Linked DNA regions of Mus musculus. The protein of the gene in region 1 interacts with the protein of each later gene in a pairwise test. Links are inferred from orthologs where the notes say so. Each region holds a gene or a part of one and is shown on either strand. Other genes may lie near its edges.

The links.
Region 2: the proteins of Fam114a1 (region 1) and Rab2b interact in binary tests that used the Homo sapiens proteins (3 or more experiments, as listed by UniProt). The two-hybrid records come from large-scale screens. The link is inferred for Mus musculus from reciprocal best matches to the Homo sapiens genes FAM114A1 and RAB2B.

What each region holds. Positions count from the first base shown.
Region 1 is NC_000071.6:65,025,729-65,036,150, forward strand, and holds part of Fam114a1 (protein Noxp20), read left to right. Parts: intron 1-2,681; coding exon 2,682-2,773; intron 2,774-4,336; coding exon 4,337-4,498; intron 4,499-5,526; coding exon 5,527-5,666; intron 5,667-8,643; coding exon 8,644-8,716; intron 8,717-10,422. UniProt on the Homo sapiens protein: May play a role in neuronal cell development.
Region 2 is NC_000080.6:52,272,487-52,280,887, forward strand, and holds the start of Rab2b (ras-related protein Rab-2B), read right to left. Parts: upstream 6,910-8,401; 5' UTR 6,756-6,909; coding exon 6,710-6,755; exon of another isoform or gene 6,660-6,709; intron 6,500-6,659; coding exon 6,428-6,499; intron 4,135-6,427; exon of another isoform or gene 4,045-4,134; intron 3,025-4,044; coding exon 2,957-3,024; intron 1-2,956. Other genes in the region: Tox4 (TOX high mobility group box family member 4), read left to right, coding at 7,165-7,170, 7,335-7,403. UniProt on the Homo sapiens protein: The small GTPases Rab are key regulators of intracellular membrane trafficking, from the formation of transport vesicles to their fusion with membranes. Rabs cycle between active GTP-bound and inactive GDP-bound states.

The sequences.
Region 1 (10,422 bases):
TTAGTAGAAATGATGCACTCTTAGAAGCTGGGGCTTCCTGAAGCATTTGTGTTCTGATTTACTGTCAATTCCCACCAAATATATGTAATATTGCGTGTTCATGTCAGTGTGGCACATAGCAATTCATACATATTGTTTCCTTATGAAACAATTCAATATTATATTTGCATCTCAGGGTGTGGCTCGGTGATACCGTGCTTGCTGAGCAGAAGTAAGTCCCTGCATTTGATCCCTAGCAACCCTCCAAAAGTACAACCTAAAATTTTACAAAGAACAGAGGGTGAGTTTTATGATCCCCAGTTGAGAGGGGGCGGAGACGAAGCTGAAGAAACCCCGTGACTGGTTTCAGGCCCCAGGGGTGGGTCTCAGCCAAGGGTTCCCGCTCTGTAGCACAGCCTCCTGCCAATGAAGGAAACTGGGCAGTTCCCGGATGTGGTCTTGCCCATGTGCTTGTCAGTAGAATCTGCTTTCCTCTCTCTCTCTCTCTCTCTCTCTCTCTCTCTCTCTCTCTCTCTCTCTCTCTCTCTCTCCCCTCTTACTCCTCTTCACCCCCTCCCTTCCAACCTCTCCTTACTTGGCTAAAGGAGTCTCATTCTCAAATCTCCTCAGGAATCGCTGTGTAGGTAGCTTTCTTCCTATGCATCCTCTGAGAACTCTATTACAGCTGCAAACTATATCACAGCACTCACCTTCCTGGCTGGAATGAGTCCCACTACCGCTCCATCCTGAGCTAAGGCAGTTGCCCCCATCTACACCCAGGGCACCCATCTTGCTCATTCTGTGCAGCCACCCTGGCCTCCTTACTGCCCCCCAGAACTTGACAGGCACATTCCCTGCTAGACTTTATTGCCACTGCCAAGCGTCTAGAACACTTCTCCCCTGATCCAGAAGCTATCCTCAGGTGGGGACTACACCCCCGCCCCCACGTCGTCTTTCCCTTCTCGGTTACTATATGAAGCAAATACGATATAGAACTGTTTGTAAAAAAAAAAAAAAAAAAAGGAAAAGTGGTGTAAGTGAATTATTATGTAGCACATTGACACGAGCACACGAAGATTTTAAATGTGTTTGGTGGGAATTGACGCTGAATGAGAACTCGGATGCTTCAGGAGGCTCCAGCTTTTCAAGGCACATCCATTCCTCATAGCTCCCTCCTAATCTTGGCCTGTTTAGGTTGCCGTAGCAAACATCGCAGCGTACCTTACAGGAACTTACTTCTCACAGTTCCGTAAGGAAGTCTGAGATCAGAGAGCTGGCAGATCTGGTGTCTGGCAAAGGTCCATCTCTGGGTCACAGTCAGCTTCTTGTAGCTGTGTCCTCCCGTGGGAGTGGAGGCCAGCCAGCTCTCTGGGGATTCTTTACACAGACACTAATCTATTCATGTGAATGCCATGCTCATGACCATGCAAGTGTTAGGTACAGTATTTTCCACGTGGCTTAGCCTTCCCCAGAGGTATTACCTGGGCTCTGGCATAAGCCCGGGTAACCTCTTCACTGAGGGTTTTGCACACATGCAATTGGGCCAGATGAATGATGCTTTATTCTCCCTCAGTGGGGCTCATAAACCCATTGTGGAATCAGTACTTTAGCACCTACCAGAAACTTTAAGATGGTCTTGTCTTGAAGTTGCAAATGAGAGAAGTGAGCAGAGAGTGCAGCTTTTAACAATCTCTGTTTCCTACCATGGATATTTTTGGTTCATTGGTTTCGTTTGGTTTGGTTTGGTTTGGTTTGGTTTGGTTTGGTTTGGTTTGGTTTGATTGTTTTGGTTTTTGGTTTTTTGAGACAGGATTTTTTTGTGTAGTCCTGGCTGTCCTGGAATTCACTATGTAGATCAAGTTGGACTTGAACTCACAGAAATCCATCTGTCTCTGCCTCCTGAAGGCTATAATTAAAGCCCTGTAATCACCACTGCCCATCCAGGGATATTTATTTTTATTTTATGATGTATAAATATACTATATAACAAATATTATATGATTATTGTATTCTATATCATATGATATCTTAATAGATTATCAATTCAAATAATATTTTCTTTAGCACCTATTATGTTCCAGGGATCATGTTAAGAATGAGTTAAACTCTTCTCTGTCCTTAGATAGCTTCCCATCTGAGAAAATAGATCTTAAAAAGTATTATAGTACCACACAGGTCTTCTAGAGAACCTTGGGAAATTTCTCCAGAGAGATGGTATTACATTAGAGCACACATGAGACTTCCACTCACCCAGCCCTGCCAGTCCCTTCCTCAGCACCACACCCTGGGCATTGTCAAAGTTGCTATAGGAAGCCTAACCAGTTTCCGAATAGCGGGTACCAGAGGCCTGACACAGGTCATACATACTCATTCTGTCAGCAATGGGCTGCTACAGCTGTGGCCCCAAGACACACAAGGTCTCTCTCCCTACCTGCCTTTGTCCCTGAGCCAGCCCAGGGTGCCCTAGTGCCAGAGGCCTGCAGCTAGGCTTCAGCAGAGCTCTCCAGGCAGCCTGCTGCCTCCCCGCTGTGCTCACCGATGGAAGACGTGACATCCATCTTCCCAGGCAGCCTCAGGGCGCACTGCCAAAGCCCCCCTTAGTCTACCCTGAGTGCTCCTGCAAAGTCAGGGGAGCTGCCACGTTCTGAAGGATGAAAAATAAATGCATCGCGCCTCTTACTGCTGTTGTGTTCTGTTTCTAGGCCTAGAAGAAAGCGGGGAAGAATTTGCCAGGATGCTTACAGAGCTCCTGTTTGAATTACACGTCGCCGCCACACCTGACAAACTCAATAAGGTCGGAACCAACCCTTTCTGTGTCTTTGGTTTTAAAGGGGGACTGGAGAAAGAGGGTCTTGGTGGTAAGATTCCTCAGATTCGCAAGAAATGGGGGGAAAACCCCGCCAACACCCCCCCCCACGACATAACAGGGGGAGAGGCGTCTGAGGTCAGTAATTGGTACCTTCGGAGGCACCCTAATGGATGCAAGGCTTCTGAGACCTCCCATTCTGTAATTTACGAGTAATTATCTAGTGACCTTGAGAAAGTCAGTTGCCCTTTCACAGGGGAATAGACTGTTCTGTCAGAGGATGATTATCTTCGGGGGGGGGGGGGGGCATCACGGGACTTTCCAGACTCTTCTCCCACCCTTGCTTTTTAAAGAGACATGCAGGTTTTAGAGCGAAGAGGGAAGCTCAGACCTTTCCGCCCACCTGGGCTGCCGCTGCCGCTCCAACACATCTTAGGAAAGTCCAGCTTTGCCATTACAGATTCCTCTAACTTCACAGTGCATTTTGCAAGTTAGAACCAGGTCTAACTGTAGGATTCCTTAAGGAGGTGCTGGTCACTAATTACCCAAGGCTATGTGATTTCTTTTCTATCTCCCTCTCGCTTTCCTCCTGACTCTTACCTGACCTAGCAGTGGTTTGCATAGCCACTCACCTGTTATAATGGGTGAAGGAAGGACAGAATGAGGTACAGAAGCGGTGAGATGAGGAATTTCTTTCTCTCTGTTAGGGGTCAGTGAGCCGACAGGTCAGCTGGGAAATTACCTCGTTCATCTCCCTACAGCACCTGCCACAGCTTGGAGTGGAGAGGGGTGGACTTCTCAGTTGCATGGGTCAGCCTTTATTCCTAAAAGAGTTCTTTTTAGGGTGGCTCTCCCCTAATCTGCTATCTCTTAAAATACCTCCCAACATTCTGACATGTTAAACATTGACATAGGCTTTAAGGTAACTCAGTGTTTTAGCATAAGATGAGTGACATCTTCTACTTAAGCAAACGTTGTAAACGATCCGATGGGCTCTAGATAAGTCTGTCCTGTCTCGGAATTCAGGAATCAATAGGCCGGGTAAGGAAGGTGGTCTCGGCAGTTTCCAATTAGCTACGATTTTGTAAGTCACGAGTTGCTTATGTGGCTCTCCTGGAGTGCCAGCCCTCTGCTCATCCTAGAGGTTGGACAGAGGGCCTGCCATGAATCTGAAGGAGCAAAGCCATTGATCTTCTTCCCATCTATACGTTATTGTTTCCTGAGATGACGAGGGCTTTAGGAAAACCACCACAGGAGGAACCTGGCTTCAGCCATGACTTCTACTGATTTCTAGCCTATTCGATAAAGAGTACAGTTCATCTTTTTATCACCAGCCATGAACCACGAAAAATACATTGTAGATTTTGCAGCTTCTGTCCTTTTCCTCATCTGAATGTCATTTTAAAATACCCTTTTAGAAGTTCGATGTGTTCTATATACTTTCCATTCTGCCCTTGTCTCCTCGTCTGCCCTGGAGGGTCCAGGTTGAGAGCACTTGGTTTTCACATTCCCACACTAAATGTGTTGTTTGGTTGGTTGGGACCATGGCAGGCCATGAAGAAAGCTCATGACTGGGTGGAAGAAGATCAAAGCGTGGTGTCGATAGATGTGGCCAAAGGGTCGGAGGAGGAAGAGAAGGAAGAAGGAAAGGAAGAGAAAGCCGAAGAACCTGAAGAAGACAAAACAGGGGGCCAAGGAGCTAAGACTGTAGAGGTAAACCTGCCTGCATCAGCCACAGTTATCTGTGATAATTCTATAAGGAGCCTCGTTTAAAGCGAGGAGGACCGCTTTCTATTTACACCATGCCCTACATCCTAGTAAGACTGCAATAGACAATCCAGATTTCTATCCCAAGACAATTTATGGCTTAGCGTAGATTTTGTAGCTTTTCTCCATAATTTTATAATTTAAAAGCAGAAAGATCTTCCAGAACATAATTGATTTATCTTTATGCAAATCTGCTACTATAAATTGTCTTTATGCTCCCTTGCTAATGAGGCAATTGGAGCTCTCTTTCAATGCTGTGGCTTCTTTCCTGCAGTTTAGTACACTCATATGCCTATACTTTATGTCCTGCCTGTGCTCCAAAAGTCATCTGTGATAATTGTTCCTTATGCTGAGTTCCAATTTTAAAGTGACAAAGGTATGGTTCTCCAAAGAAAAATGTCCACTGGAGTGTGCCATGCATCTTCTCTTCCACGCACCCCACTTACCATAACCTGCCTAGTGTGTGGCCAGCAACAGCCTGACTCTTGAAGACACAAATGTGAATAGGCTTGTCTTATCCCTGGGGACCTGGCAGCGTTGCCATTGAGTGCACACACACACACACACACACACACACACACACACATTTTGTATGTAATGCATGGTTTGTCTTTGTGTGGAGACCAGAGGTTGCCACTGAACCTGGAGCTAACATAATATTGGCTATGGCCAGTGACCCCCAGCCATCAGCCCATCTCCATCCTCCAGTCCTGAGGCTAAAGCTGTGCAGCACTTAGGAAGGTGCTAAGGACACAAACTCAGGTTCTCATGCTTGTGCAAAAGCACTTTACTGACTAAGCCACGCCCCCACACCCTTGGAATTTTATAGGGATACAGGATTACATCATCTAGGGGCCAGGGTGTAGTTCAGCAATACAGTATGTGCTTCGAATCATGTCCCGTTTTTTAACGCGATGGGGGTTTTTGAAAAGAGGCTGCTTAGTGAGTAATTCTCTTGTGTGCGTCCATTTCAGGAAGTGTACATGCTGTCCATTGAAAGTCTGGCTGAAGTCACTGCACGCTGCATTGAACAGCTACATAAGGTTGCAGAGTTGATTCTCCATGGACAAGAGGAGGAGAAACCAGCTCAAGACCAAGCAAGAGTTCTGATAAAGTTAATGCAACTTTCAATTCTTCCCCTTTAGATTGTATGTGTGTGTGCATGTATGCATGTGTGTGTGTGTGCATGTATACATGTGTGTGTGCATGTATGTGTGTGTGTGCATGTATGCATGTGTAGATGTGTGTGTGCATGTATGCATGTGTGTATGTGTGCATGTATACGTGTGTGTGTGCATGTATGCATGTGTGTGTGTTATGTACATGTATACATGTGTGGACGTGTGTGCATGTATACATGTGTGGACGTGGATGTGTGTGTGTGCATGTATACGTGTGTGTGTGTGTGTGTGCGTGTGCGTGTGCGTGTGCATGTGTGGACATGTGAATGTGTGCCATTCAAATGCACATACACATGTACCCTAAACACCTGAAAATTTAGATTTTCATGTCAACTGTTATGGTCATTTTAAGAAATAAGGATTCTGTTAGGAAATACATTATATAGCAATAATAATAATACATAGAAGATAAGGACTCCCTTAGAAAATACATTATACAGCAATAATAATAATAGTAATAATACATAGGAGTTTTTGAGAGATTTAAGAGGAGACACACTAATGCATTCAGAGGTATAAACATGTTTGTTTTAATAGATTGATTTCTTCAAGGCACAGAACATTGAGGGTAACTACATATTCATACCATACCAACAGAGAAAGGACAGTCTAATATAACTTTTCAGTTCCCCATACAAAAGTAGGCAGACACACACCACCCTTTTCAGCAACGTTACCTGACCTGCCTGGTCTGTTCTCTGGGCATGCTAGCCACTAATGCAAGACAGTTCACTGCAGGCTGCATTCCTGTGCCATACACTGAAGTTTATGTTCTTCAATAACCAGTTGTTGTTGTTGTTGTTAATTTATCTAGTATTATGCAAACATGAATATACATAAGCTATGTGTATATATGTATATATATATACATATATATATATATATGAAAACAGTTGGTGTGAAATCTTTTTGAAAATAGAAAATATTGCTAAAAATAAATCATTAACTTTTATGTGTATAATTATATATTATGACATGTGGATTATCAGCAGATGTTCAAATACCCCTTTGTTATTATTAAAACAAGGGAGCCAAATTATCACCCAAGAAAGAACACACACATACACATACACACACACCTACCATATTATTCATATGCACTTCACCATCTCACTAATTTTACTACATCTGACAAGGAAAATTATGTATTTAGAAATAAACTTCACAGTATGTGATAATTCTAGAGAGATAGCGTATTTTCTAACATATGGAAAGAAAAAGAAAGGTTTTGAAACGCTGAGGGCAGTGTCTAGCTACTGCCTTGCCTTTGTAAAGACCTGAAAGGGGAGGGCTAAGGCTCAGAAATCCCATGACGTGGGTCCTAGGACCTTGCTCTTAGCACCTTTCCGATTCCCTTGTTTGTGCCAACCTCATCCAGCTGTGCTGACCCCGAGCTGGTCAGTCGGTTCAGTGAGTGCCCTCCCACCACCTTCCCAAGAGCACACAGTATGGTCTCTGATGTCTTCTGGCCTCACCCACAATGACTTCTTCAGACAAATTTCAGATGGATGGATGGACACCTCCATATGGTTCATCATACCTAGTACTTAGGCCTAGGGGTGTAGTTCAGTGGCAAGCCTGCTAGCACATGGAGGCCCTAGGTCTGTTCCCCGGCATCACACAGGAGCGGAGGGCAGAGAGATGACTGATCTGCTAAAGTACCGCTGTGTTCACCTGAGCACCTGACTCCAATCCCCACACACAAAAAGCCAGACAGGGCCGCAGGCAGCTGTAATCTCAGAGAAGGATCCATACCTCCTTCCCCCAGCATGTGGCGTATGCACATACAAGCACCTACACATACACAAAAGAAAACGCTACACATACACAAAGAAAACCCTGCATATATAGATTAGACAGAATCTCTATCAAAAAAAAAAAAAAAAACAAGACAAAACAAACCATTTTCTTTGCCTTCAGTAGCTCTCCTAACATGAAATATTCTTTTGTTTTTCTAATAGTATTTTATTCACTATCAACCACACACTGTAATTGTTAGGGGAAAATCAGACAGGACACACAATATATTTGGCAATCATATTGTTTTCTGTCTTTGTCATCTGTGGTGTTAGTATAAACCTTCTGATTAATTTTGTCTCTCTTGCTTCATTTTCTTGGAGTAAAGACTTAAAAGGGAATGGCCAAAGGAAAGTCCACGTTTGGAGATGTAAAGAGAATTTCCAGGGATCGTTGTTTTGAGGCAAATAGGAGTCACACAAGCAGGATGCAGGGAGAATCTGGATGTGGTAGAGCACGGCCACTGTCCCAGATCTCTGTAGGCTGAGGCAGGAGGATCTTTGGAAGTCAAGGCACGCCAGACTGAGACACATAGTGACACACTGCTGAAAGGGAAAGGAAGGAGTTAGATGCTTGCCGAGTCACACCCGAGACCCTGGGTTGTTCTCCAGCACCAAGAAGGGTGCATGCATGTGTGTGTGCATGCATGCATGTTGAATGAATGCCTGCATTTGCATTTTAATCCCCTTTCTACACTCGCCACTGTATGCCCCATGCAGGTGACTTGGCAGATTCAGTTTAGTCATGAGATGACATGTGAACGAGTGCCTCACTGAACGTTCATTATTTTAAAATGACCCAGACACCGGAGGAAAGTCACCTGGCCCGAGTTTGCACTCCTGTGAAAAAGATGCTCAGGCCTGCTATTTCCCTGCACGTGGCTTTGATTCTAAAAGGAGGGCAAATTAATTAGAGTATTGTTCCTTAATTAAACATGGAAAGAAAACTGTGAACCATGGATGATTGTCGAGGATGACTGCACAATTTTGTAGAGCGACTTCAATCTCTGCTTTTGACGTCATACTGCCATTCATGTCATGCTAATCATCACAAGGTTTACGTTACTTTATAGAAAATCCCACAAACCTCTTTTTTTTTTTTTCCTTATTTCAGATTAACCACAGCAATGTGCAATGAAGTAACCTCCTTATCGAAGAAGTTTACAAATTCTTTAACCACTGTTGGGGTAAGAATACAATTCGGGTTATTTTCTTACATTGTTGAGGGAAGTGGAGCTGTGAGAAGTCAGGACTATGACACTTTTTAGCACAACTCCATAATCACAGCTGTGTCATGCTGTTTTTCTAAAATCAGGCAGAGGTCCCCTCTCTAAGCACCACTAGCCTAGGGCTCTCCTCTGCCATGGGCACAGACTCCAGTCTGCTGTCTGCCTGGGCTGTAGACTCCAGTCTGCTGTCTCAGACATCATCTGGACTGTGGTGGGTGGTCAGATCTCCGTGGACCTGGCCTTATTCATATATCAAAAGAAAGGGTGTCAAAGGAAGGTACTTTTCCTTTGCTTATTATCTATCTTCACATTACTCAAGAATCTCTATTAAAATAACTAACTTTAAATATTATTGTTCAGTATTATCCTCAGTCTAAATAAGCCACATATGATAAGAATTTTAAAAAAAAGTGTTGTCAAAAAGTGTTGTCAATTAACATCTAAGTGTTTCTGTTCTTAAGATAATAGCTGTGAAATGTTGCATGTATTTCAACGTGTGGCTTCTGATTACCTATCTCGGTTGTGCCCTTTTCTGTCCCAGGTAGCCCTTGTGGGCTGGGGAAATGGCTTAGCCGACGAAGGATTTCATGTTCAAGTGTGAGACTCTGAGTTCAGATCCCCAGAGTGTGCTGGTAATCGCAGTGCTCTGGAGGAAGACAAGGGCCTTCCCCAGAGCAAGATGGCTTGCTGGAGGAGTAGCTAAATGGGCTAGCTCTAGGTTCAGCAAGAGACCTTGTCTCAGTAAATAAAGAAGAGTGTGATTGAGGAAGACACCCACTGAGCATCAACCTCTGCCTCTATACACGTGTGCACACACATGCATGCAAACATGTGTGATTCCCCCATACTACACATATATACATGGGGGATGATGAAACCAATTGTATTATAAAGCCCACCTTAGTAGAGCAGGAGTAGCCCTACTAAGTGGGAAACACTCCTCTTTTATCTTCCTACTTCTAAAGCCCCTAGATGCAAGATCTGACTCTTTCCCAGAGACACAGGAAATAGGCTTTAGTTGGGGTATTTACTATTGCAATGTACAGTTTCAGTTTCCAAGGAATGACTGGAAGTCTGAAACCAGGGCTATGCTCTCTCTGAGGCCTCTGGGGGTGGGTTATAAATGGCTCAGATAAAGGGATGCTTTATGGAAGTTGGTGGAAGACTATGAACAGCTCTGGGGACCCAGCAACAGAGAAACAATGTCTCATCTTTTTTTCTTTTTTTTGGGGGGGGGGGGCTTGAGACAGGGTTTCAGGGTTTCTCTGTATAGCCCTGGCTGTCCTGGAACTCACTCTGTAGACCAGGCTGGCCTTGAACTCAGAAATTCACCTGCCTCTGCCTCCCAAGAGCTGGGATTAAAGGTGTGCGCCACCACGCCCAGGTCTGTCTCATCTTTCACATTCCTTTTTCTGAGTCAGAAGTTTCAGAAGACCACCAGCATAGGTCAGACAGCAGATGACCACCTTGATGTCACTCAGCTGTGACTGGGGGCAAGATGGTGGCATGTAGACCTACATAGCTGCTGGGTGTAACTGCACTGTAGGCAAAGAGCAGTTCTTAAAAGAAATGGGATATCAGTCCCCCATATGTCTGCTAAGTGAGCCTATGGATAAAGGGTGAGTTGTGGGCCACTAACCCATTCTGCTGTCAAGTCTGGTTTG
Region 2 (8,401 bases), on another chromosome or scaffold:
AGGAAGTGGAAAGGAGGGACATTCAGTTTGAAGAAAGTTTTTTGACAGAGGGCCCTGGGCTGAGGAGAAGGTCACCTGGACGTTTCCCCTGCCTCTCTGATCTAAGCAGGTTTTCACCCTGAGCTCTTCGATGGTAAAAGCACAACACTGAGATTTTGTTTAAAAGCACCCTACGTTTTCCTGTCAGCAATGTTCATGAGCACTTTGGAGCCAGTGTGCTGGCTGGAAAAACTGTCTAGTTCAACTTAAGTGGGGTCGTATCAATCTCAAGCATCCTTGTCCTTGGTCAGCTAAAAAAAAAAAAAAAATGTCTAAAGCAGCAAATAGCTAACATGGAGTTTTCTTGTTTGGTTTCATTTTGTGTAATTCTGTAGCCTCGAGATGAAGCTCAGGCCAGCCTTGAATTCACATTGCTCCTCCCTCTGCCTTTTAAGCACTGGCCTATGGGCTGTTTGAATGAGAATTCCCCCCCCCCCTCCAGGCTCATTTGTTTGAACGCCCCAGTTAGTAGGACGGTTTGGGAAGGTCTAGGGGTATGGCCTTGATGGAGGAAATGTGTCACTAGGGCTTTGATGTTTTGGCCTGCAGATCAAGATGTAAAGCTCTCAGCTCCAGCTCCAGTGTCATGTTGGTCTGCTTCCTGCCATGATATGATCACTGAATAACCCCCCAAACTGTAAGGAAGCCCCTAATTAAGTTTCTTTCATAAGAGTTGTCTTAGTCCTAATGTCTTCTCATACAACAGACAATCACTAAGACATGGGAGTAGGAAAGCCACCACACCAAGTTGAACATGGAACTTCAATGAAGCTTTGTAATTTCTCCCAAGTGAGAGTAAGATATACAGTTTGAAATATCAGCTATAAGTCAGATACTGGTTTTGTTGTTGGTCTTTTGTAGGTGATGGGTTTTTTGCTTAGTTTTTTTTTGGGGGGGGCGGGGGGTACAGAGGTATTTTGTTTTTGTTTTTTTGAGAAACCTCTCACTGTTTTGACTGGCTTAGAAATCTATGTAGACCAGGCTGACCCTGAACTTGCAGGGACCCACCTGAGCGCTGGGATGGCATGCATTCCCTTACCAGGCTTGCCTTACAGTTCTTAAGGATCCTATCCACAGGCTCATACAGCCGCGTCTCTAAACTTTCTTCGTGATCCCACCATTGCTCATGTCAGCACTTAAGCACAAAAAGAAAAAGCCACCAACATGGCCATGAAATATCACACACAAAAGCAATATATTGAGATTAGGCAAAGCTTCACCACCAAACTTCATTGATTAAAATTTACAACACAGGAGCCGGGCGTGGTGGCGCACGCCTTTAATCCCAGCACTCGGGAGGCAGAGGCAGGTGGATCTCTGAGTTCGAGGTCAGCCTGATCTACAAAGTGAGTTCCAGGACAGCCAGGGCTATACAGAGAAACCCTGTCTCGGGAAAACAAAACAAAACAAAACAAATTTATAACACAGGCAACTTTTACCTTCAGTTCTCATCTCTGGGCAAATAGTCCACAGAAATTCTCAAACATTTGCAAAAAATTGTAATAAATTAGAATGTTTAAAGAAGCTGTACAATGGTTGAAAACTAAAAACAAAACTAATGTCCATCAATGCAATGGAGGCCGGCTAAAATAAATACATGGTACGAACATTCCGTGACTATGCGGTTGTTAAAACGAGTGAGTCAGATCTGTATTATACTGATAGAAAACGTCTCCAAAATATCAAAACTACTATATAAACAACACAGCTATGTCGACTCTTGTCACAATTCTATACATATTAATATTAATGAAGACAAAAATCTTGGGCTGGCAAGATGTCTCGGTAAGCAAAGAACTTGTCATGCAAACCTGACAACCTGAGCTTGGTCCTCGGGAACCTTTCTTTAAAAGATGGAAAGAGAACCACTGCACAAAACTGACTTCCACTTGCACCAGGTCACATGCACTTACTGTCAAGCACACAGGCAATACATACATTATTTAAATTAACAACAACAACAACAAAAACCTCTACCATTAACTTGCATCTGTCTGTCTACATATCTACCCATCTACCTACCTATCTACCTACCTACCTATCTATCCATCTATATCTACCTATTTATTTATTCATTTTATTTAATTTAGACGGGTCTTTCTTACTCTGTAGCCTGGCTGGCCTGGAACTCACTTTGTAGGCTAGTCTGGTCTACAAAAAAAAAATAACACACAGATATCTGCCTGCCTCTGCCTCCCCAGCTCTGGGATTAAAGGCGTGCGCCACCACTCCTGGCTGACACATTCTATTCTTTAGGGATTTCAGTGCACAGAAGTCTGAAAGAATACACCCTGAATCATTAACAGTGGGGTCTTCTGGCAGAACAGCAACAGTGTGACACAGAAAAGGGCCTTATGTAAGAGGACGGTCACCTTTGGCTACATAAACTTTTATAAGTTTTTATTTTTTACTGTATTAGTTGAGTCTTTTTTAGTTTGCTATGTTTTTTCAAGACTGGGTTTCTCTGTATAGCATGGGCTGTCCTGGAACTCACTTTGTAGACCAGGCTGGTCTTAAACATCCTCCACCTGAGAGTCAAATCATTTCAAATAAAAAAGGTATGATGCTTTGTTTTTGACCTGAATATCTCAGTATGTATTCCCTCTTGGCTTCACCTTTCTTGGGCTCCTTGCCTCATCCTACAGTTTTTGTTTTTTTCTTCTTTTTTGGTGTTTTTGAAACAGGGTTTCTCTGTGTAGTCCTGGCTGTCCTGGAACTCACAGACCAGGCTGGCCTCCAACTCAGAAATCTGCCTGCCTCTGCCTCCCGAGTGCTGGGATTAAAGGCATGCACCACCACGCCCGGCTCATCCTATAGTTTTAAAACTACAGGTGTCTAGCATTCCACAAGGCTGCATTAGCTTTTACTGTTATAACTGGGCCTCAGTCTGGTACTAAATTGTTTTGCCCTCTCTTACCGTATCCCAGATTTGCAGTTTGATTTGTTTTCCATCGATGTTGACCATACGTGCTCCAAACTCCACACCTGTCAGTGAAAGACAAGAGAACGAACATGACTGTAATGAACACATACATGTCCATCTAGAGCCACATACTTTTCCCCAGTGTTATAATGATGAGTCCTTTGTCATCACTCACTGACATTCAGCCCGACAGTGGTTATTGCTCCAATTGAATTTGTGTTCCTTTTAGTTTCTTTTCTAGAATTAAAAACCCACTGACTGGACATGTAGCTCACTTGATACAGGACTTGCCTAGAAGCTCTGGAGTCAATCCCCAGATCCACATAAAACTGGACACAGGACTAGAGAGATGGCTCAGCACTAAAGCAAAGCATGTATGTGCTTCTTGGACTGGAATTGGGTATCAACACCCTCATCTGATAGTTCATAACTGCCTGTAACCCCAACTTCAAGGACTCCAATACCCTGTTCTGGGCCCTATGGGCATCTGCACACTCATGCACGTGCACATCCACATGCATGCCCCAGAACCCCTTAACTGAGCATGGCAGTGATCTAATCCCAGGCCTCATGAGGTAAAGGCAGTAGGAGCCCTAGGATAAGAAGTTCAAGGTCATCATGACTTACAGAGCAAGTTCAGGGTTGGCCTGAGATTACCCTACAGCTACAGGTATAACTCAGCGATAGTGTAACTACTTAGAACATAACTCACTAGGTTTAATCCCTTTCACCAAAAAGAAACAAGTGGATTCTAAGTGATAATGACTTAAGAATAACTCAGATGTAGAAAAGGGAACAAAGCTCATTCAGATAAAATAAATACAAGTAGTCTCACTGTTTTGATTTTACAGTCTGGATGACACTTGCTATATTAAGACCATAGGGGGCTGGGGGCTGGAGATATGGTCAGTGGTTGAGAGCACTTGGTCTTGGAGCAGAACAGAGTTTGGTTCCCAACACCCTTGTCCAGTGGCTCACAACTACCTGTAACTCCTGCTGCAGAGGGGTCAATGATCTCTAGCCCTTATAGGCACCTGTACACACATGTGCAAATACAAACACACATATATACAAAAAAATTTTTTTTAAGATCTGAGGGGGAAAAACCCACGTATGTGTTACCAGAGTTAGTTCTTTCCCTAGATCTGGTTTTATAAATTCTAGTAATAAACTAAGTTTGATTTATTATATAACCAGTTGATTTGTTTTAAGGCCTTATAATGACAGAGACTCTATCTAGATCTTCTTAAGAATTAGCCTTAAGAAAAGTGGCACTGCAGTTACTGTAATGATTTGCAAATAACATCTGAAGAATGTGTACCCGCTACAAAGCAAGTTCTAGGACAGCCAGGGCTATACAGAAAAACTCTTGTCTCAAAAAAAAAAAAAAAAGCCACTACAGGAAAGTTTTTCATAAAATAAACTACAAAGCTACAATTCATAGAAAAAAATTTCTAGAAAATGAACATAACAATTCTGGGACAAATAAAACTAAAAGAGATGAATAAATGCTTAGGAATGTTAGCTTACACTGAAATCTGACTAGGTAATATTTAATTCTACAATTGTTTTCAAAGAACTTCTTTGTTTGCTGGTTTGGTTGGTTGGTTTTGGTTTTTCAAGACAGGGTTTCTCTGTTTAGCCCTGGCTGTCCTGGAACTCACTCTGTAGACCTGGCTGGCCTTGAACTCAGAAATCCACCTGCCTCTGCCTCCCGAGTGCTGGGATTAAAGGCGTGCGCCACCACTGTCAGGCTCAAAGAACTTCTGAACTATTTGAAAGTTAAGTGTTTTGCCTGCATGTTAAGTATGTGTGACGTATGTGGCTGGTACCTGTGGAGGCCAGAAGAACCCAAAGGATCCCCTGGAACTTGAGTGACAGAGGATGATGGGTGCTGGGAATTGAACCCTTGTTCTTGGGAGAGCAGTCGGTGCTCTTAACTGCTGAGTCAGCTCTCCAGCCCATTGATAGCATTTCGCGACAGTGTCTCAGAGTACTGACTAGTTCTGTGTATGAAGCAGCACTTCTTAAACTGCAATTCTAAAACTGTTTTCATTGGCAATTAAAGAAGCTGCCTAAGGAACAGGTCTTCAAGGACAAAATACCTTCAATCACCAATAATTTCCAGAGTACATTGGTAATAGCCTCTCTTAAAGCAGTATGGAAACTGACGAACTGATAGAGCTTTTGACACTTTTCTATTTCTAGGCAAAATTCATCTCTTTCAAGGACAATATTTCAAAAAAACAAAAACCCCACTGCATCATAAGCAGACAATTCATCCCCTTTTCTATTTTCAAAATAGTATTTTGTACATAGCATGAGGAATTCATACTCTATATAAATATTTTTACTTTAAGGTGCTATATGAAATACCTGTTCTGAATACCTATTACCTCAACAAAAATCAAAAAGATATTTTTTTGGAAAAAAAAAATCACTGTCAACTTTTTTTTTCTCTCAGAACAATAAGAATGTAATTTCAATGAGTAAGAAACTAAAAAACAGGCTGAGTATAGTGGTGCATATCTAATCCCAGCATTTAGGACGATCAAGTCAAAATCATGGTCAGGTTACCCAGGAAGCTTAAAGCCAGTCTCGGCGCAAAAACAAACTTATTACGAAAGTCCGTGAGGCTGGGAGTGGTGGCGCACGCCTTTAATCCCAGCACTTGGGAGGCAGAGGCAGGCGGATTTCTGATTTTTGAAGCCAGCCTGTCCTACAGAGTGAGTTCCAGGACAGCCAGGGCCACACAGAGAGAAACCCTGTCCCGAGGGGGTGGGGGGGGGAGAGTCTAATGCAGGAGGATCTCTGGGAGTTTGTGTCCAGTGTGGGTTATATAATGAATCTGAGGCTATTTGCTCCTAAAAGAAGAGAAGGTGAAGAGATTAGAGGAGGTGTCTGTGCAGGAAGAACTGCAATGTCCGTACATTGGCTTTTACCTCTCCAGACTTAAAAGAATCCTATGTTGGTGTTTATGTTGAAAAACATGTGAAGCTGGTAGTTAATAACAAAATACAGATGAGATGTTTAATAAGCAGTCATGTTTCCGTGGGATTTTTCCATAAACATACAAGTTGCATTGGAAGAAAAAAAAATCCTACGGCAACTAGTATCTTACATCCATCTCTAAAGTTACCTTTCAATCATTTATCCTCCACTTACCAGCTTTTATCATTTTTCATATACCATGATTTCAGACCAAGGTAGCGAGAAGTAACTTTTTTTGGTTTTTCAAGACAGGGTTTCTCTGTGTAGCCCTGGATGTCCTGGAACTCACTTTGTAGACCAGGCTGGCCTCGAACTCTGAAATCCACCTGCCTCCCGAGTGCTGGGATTAAAGGCGCGAGCTACCACGCCCGGCCGAGAAGTAACTTTTTATTTAGAATACTGAGACTGTAACTTTCTCCTTTAGCAGTTCTGGCAGCTAGCTTTTAGCTGTTCTGGAACGAGGGGATAGCTTACCTATTGTGAGGTCGTGCACGGGCTGGAACCGCTTGTCGGTAAACTGAAGGAGGAGACATGACTTCCCCACACCTGCGAAAGAACGGTGTTCACTAGACGCACGTCACCCGGGAAGCCGCTGGCTCCCAGACAGGGAACAGGGTCTAAGGCAGGGGCAGAGCCCCGCCCCCGGGGCTCGCCCCGCCCCCTCCGCGCAACTCCGCTCACCCCGCCCCGCCCCCAAGCCGATTTTGGAGGTAGGATCCCCGCCCCAACTCCGAAGGCGGTCCGTCGGCGGGTTACCTGTGTCTCCGATGATGATGTACTTGAAGAGATAAGCGTAAGTCATGGTCCCGAGGCGTCTGTGTTCCGGGTCCTCCCGATTTCTACAGCCACTTACCTCCGACCTCTCTAGCCACTCAATCTACGGGTCTCCTTATTTGCCTCCGCTCCAGCCCTTCTAGCTCAAGCTGCGTCTCTATTGCTCTCCCCCAGAAATCTTCGCTGGATCGGCTGTACCGGACGCCGCCTCTAGGGCCACCCAGTGCTCTTCTACATGCCATTATCCCACCAAGCTCCAGGGGGCGACAGCGACCCTTCGGGCAGCTGGGATCGAGACTGGTTGCGTCCCTGACTCGGTCCAATCATCGGAGAGCGACGCTTTCTCCTTGAGGAAGTGACGCGCTCGGAACCTAGTGGGGGCGGTGGGAGCGATGCGGACGCGGAGACGCTGAGTCGCTGGTAGTGGTGCTGTGAAGATGGAGGTGGGTGCCGAGTCTTTGAGGGCTGATGAGGGTTCGCGGCCGACTAGGGGAAGCGGAAGCGGGAATGCAGGGCAGCGAGGAGCCAGGGGGGCTCGGGAGGGCTGGGGTCTCAGCACGCCACTGCTCCGCTCACTCACCCACCGCGGCTTTCTTTTGGTTTACAGTTTCCCGGAGGAAATGACAATTACCTGACGATCACTGGGCCCTCGCACCCTTTCCTGTCAGGAGCCGAGGTGAGCAAAAGCTGCTGATGCTGGGGCGCCGGAGGGCCTAGGCAGCGGTTAGGGAAGGACGGTGGGGGTGAGCGCGGGGGCTGGCGGGAGCTGGAGGGGACAGTGGCCGAGGCTTCGAGCTCCTCTAAGGACTGTGGAGGGGGTGGGGGTGGGGGAGAACCGAAAGCGGCTGTCATGAGGAAACCAGGATGTTGAAGAGACGGCTTGTTTGAGGAGTTTCTGTTCTGAATAGGAAGAACGAAAGGAATTGTTCTTTGGTTGGGGGTGAAATAACTAACAATCTTGGGAGACAGCAAGAAAGAAAAAAAATTTTTTCAGTAAAGAAATCGAGATAAAGAAAGTTGTTTATCCAGCAGGGAATAACTTCGGACAGTTGTTATTTCTTGAATTCTATAGGGGGCTCTTTTATTTGAAATGTCTTTTCTGATAAAAGTGGTTCATCCTACTGATGTGGCATCTGTTTGCTTGGCTAAAGAACGACAGAGGGAAAGAAATAGCTGCCAGAGAACATAGAAGGGGGTAGAGTGCACCTGTTTCCCAGTGATCACAGACTGACTATGTCACCTTTGGATTCCAGTTGTCAAATGACTATAATAACAGGGTTTGGTTTGGTTTGGTTTGGTTTGGTTTTTAAAGATGGCGTGAAGTAGAAGTAATGGTTGTTGGATGTTCTAAGACCTTCCACAAGGGTCACCTAAGACCATAGGAAAACAGATACTTTGTGATTCATAACAGTAGCAAACTTATATTTGTGAAATAGCAGCGAAAATAATTTTATGGTTGGGGGTCACCATAATATGAGGAACCATAATAAAGGGTCCATGCAGCATTAGGAACGTTGAGAGCCACTGCTGTAAGATATTCAGGAAAACTTTTGGTTGACAGATTTTCCTATTAGAAAGCATAAAACTTATTTGAGCAAGCGAAAGTCAAAGCTGCAGTGTATGAAATTTTACCATTTTTTTTTTGAGAACTTGAGCCTTGGTCCATCTTTTGAG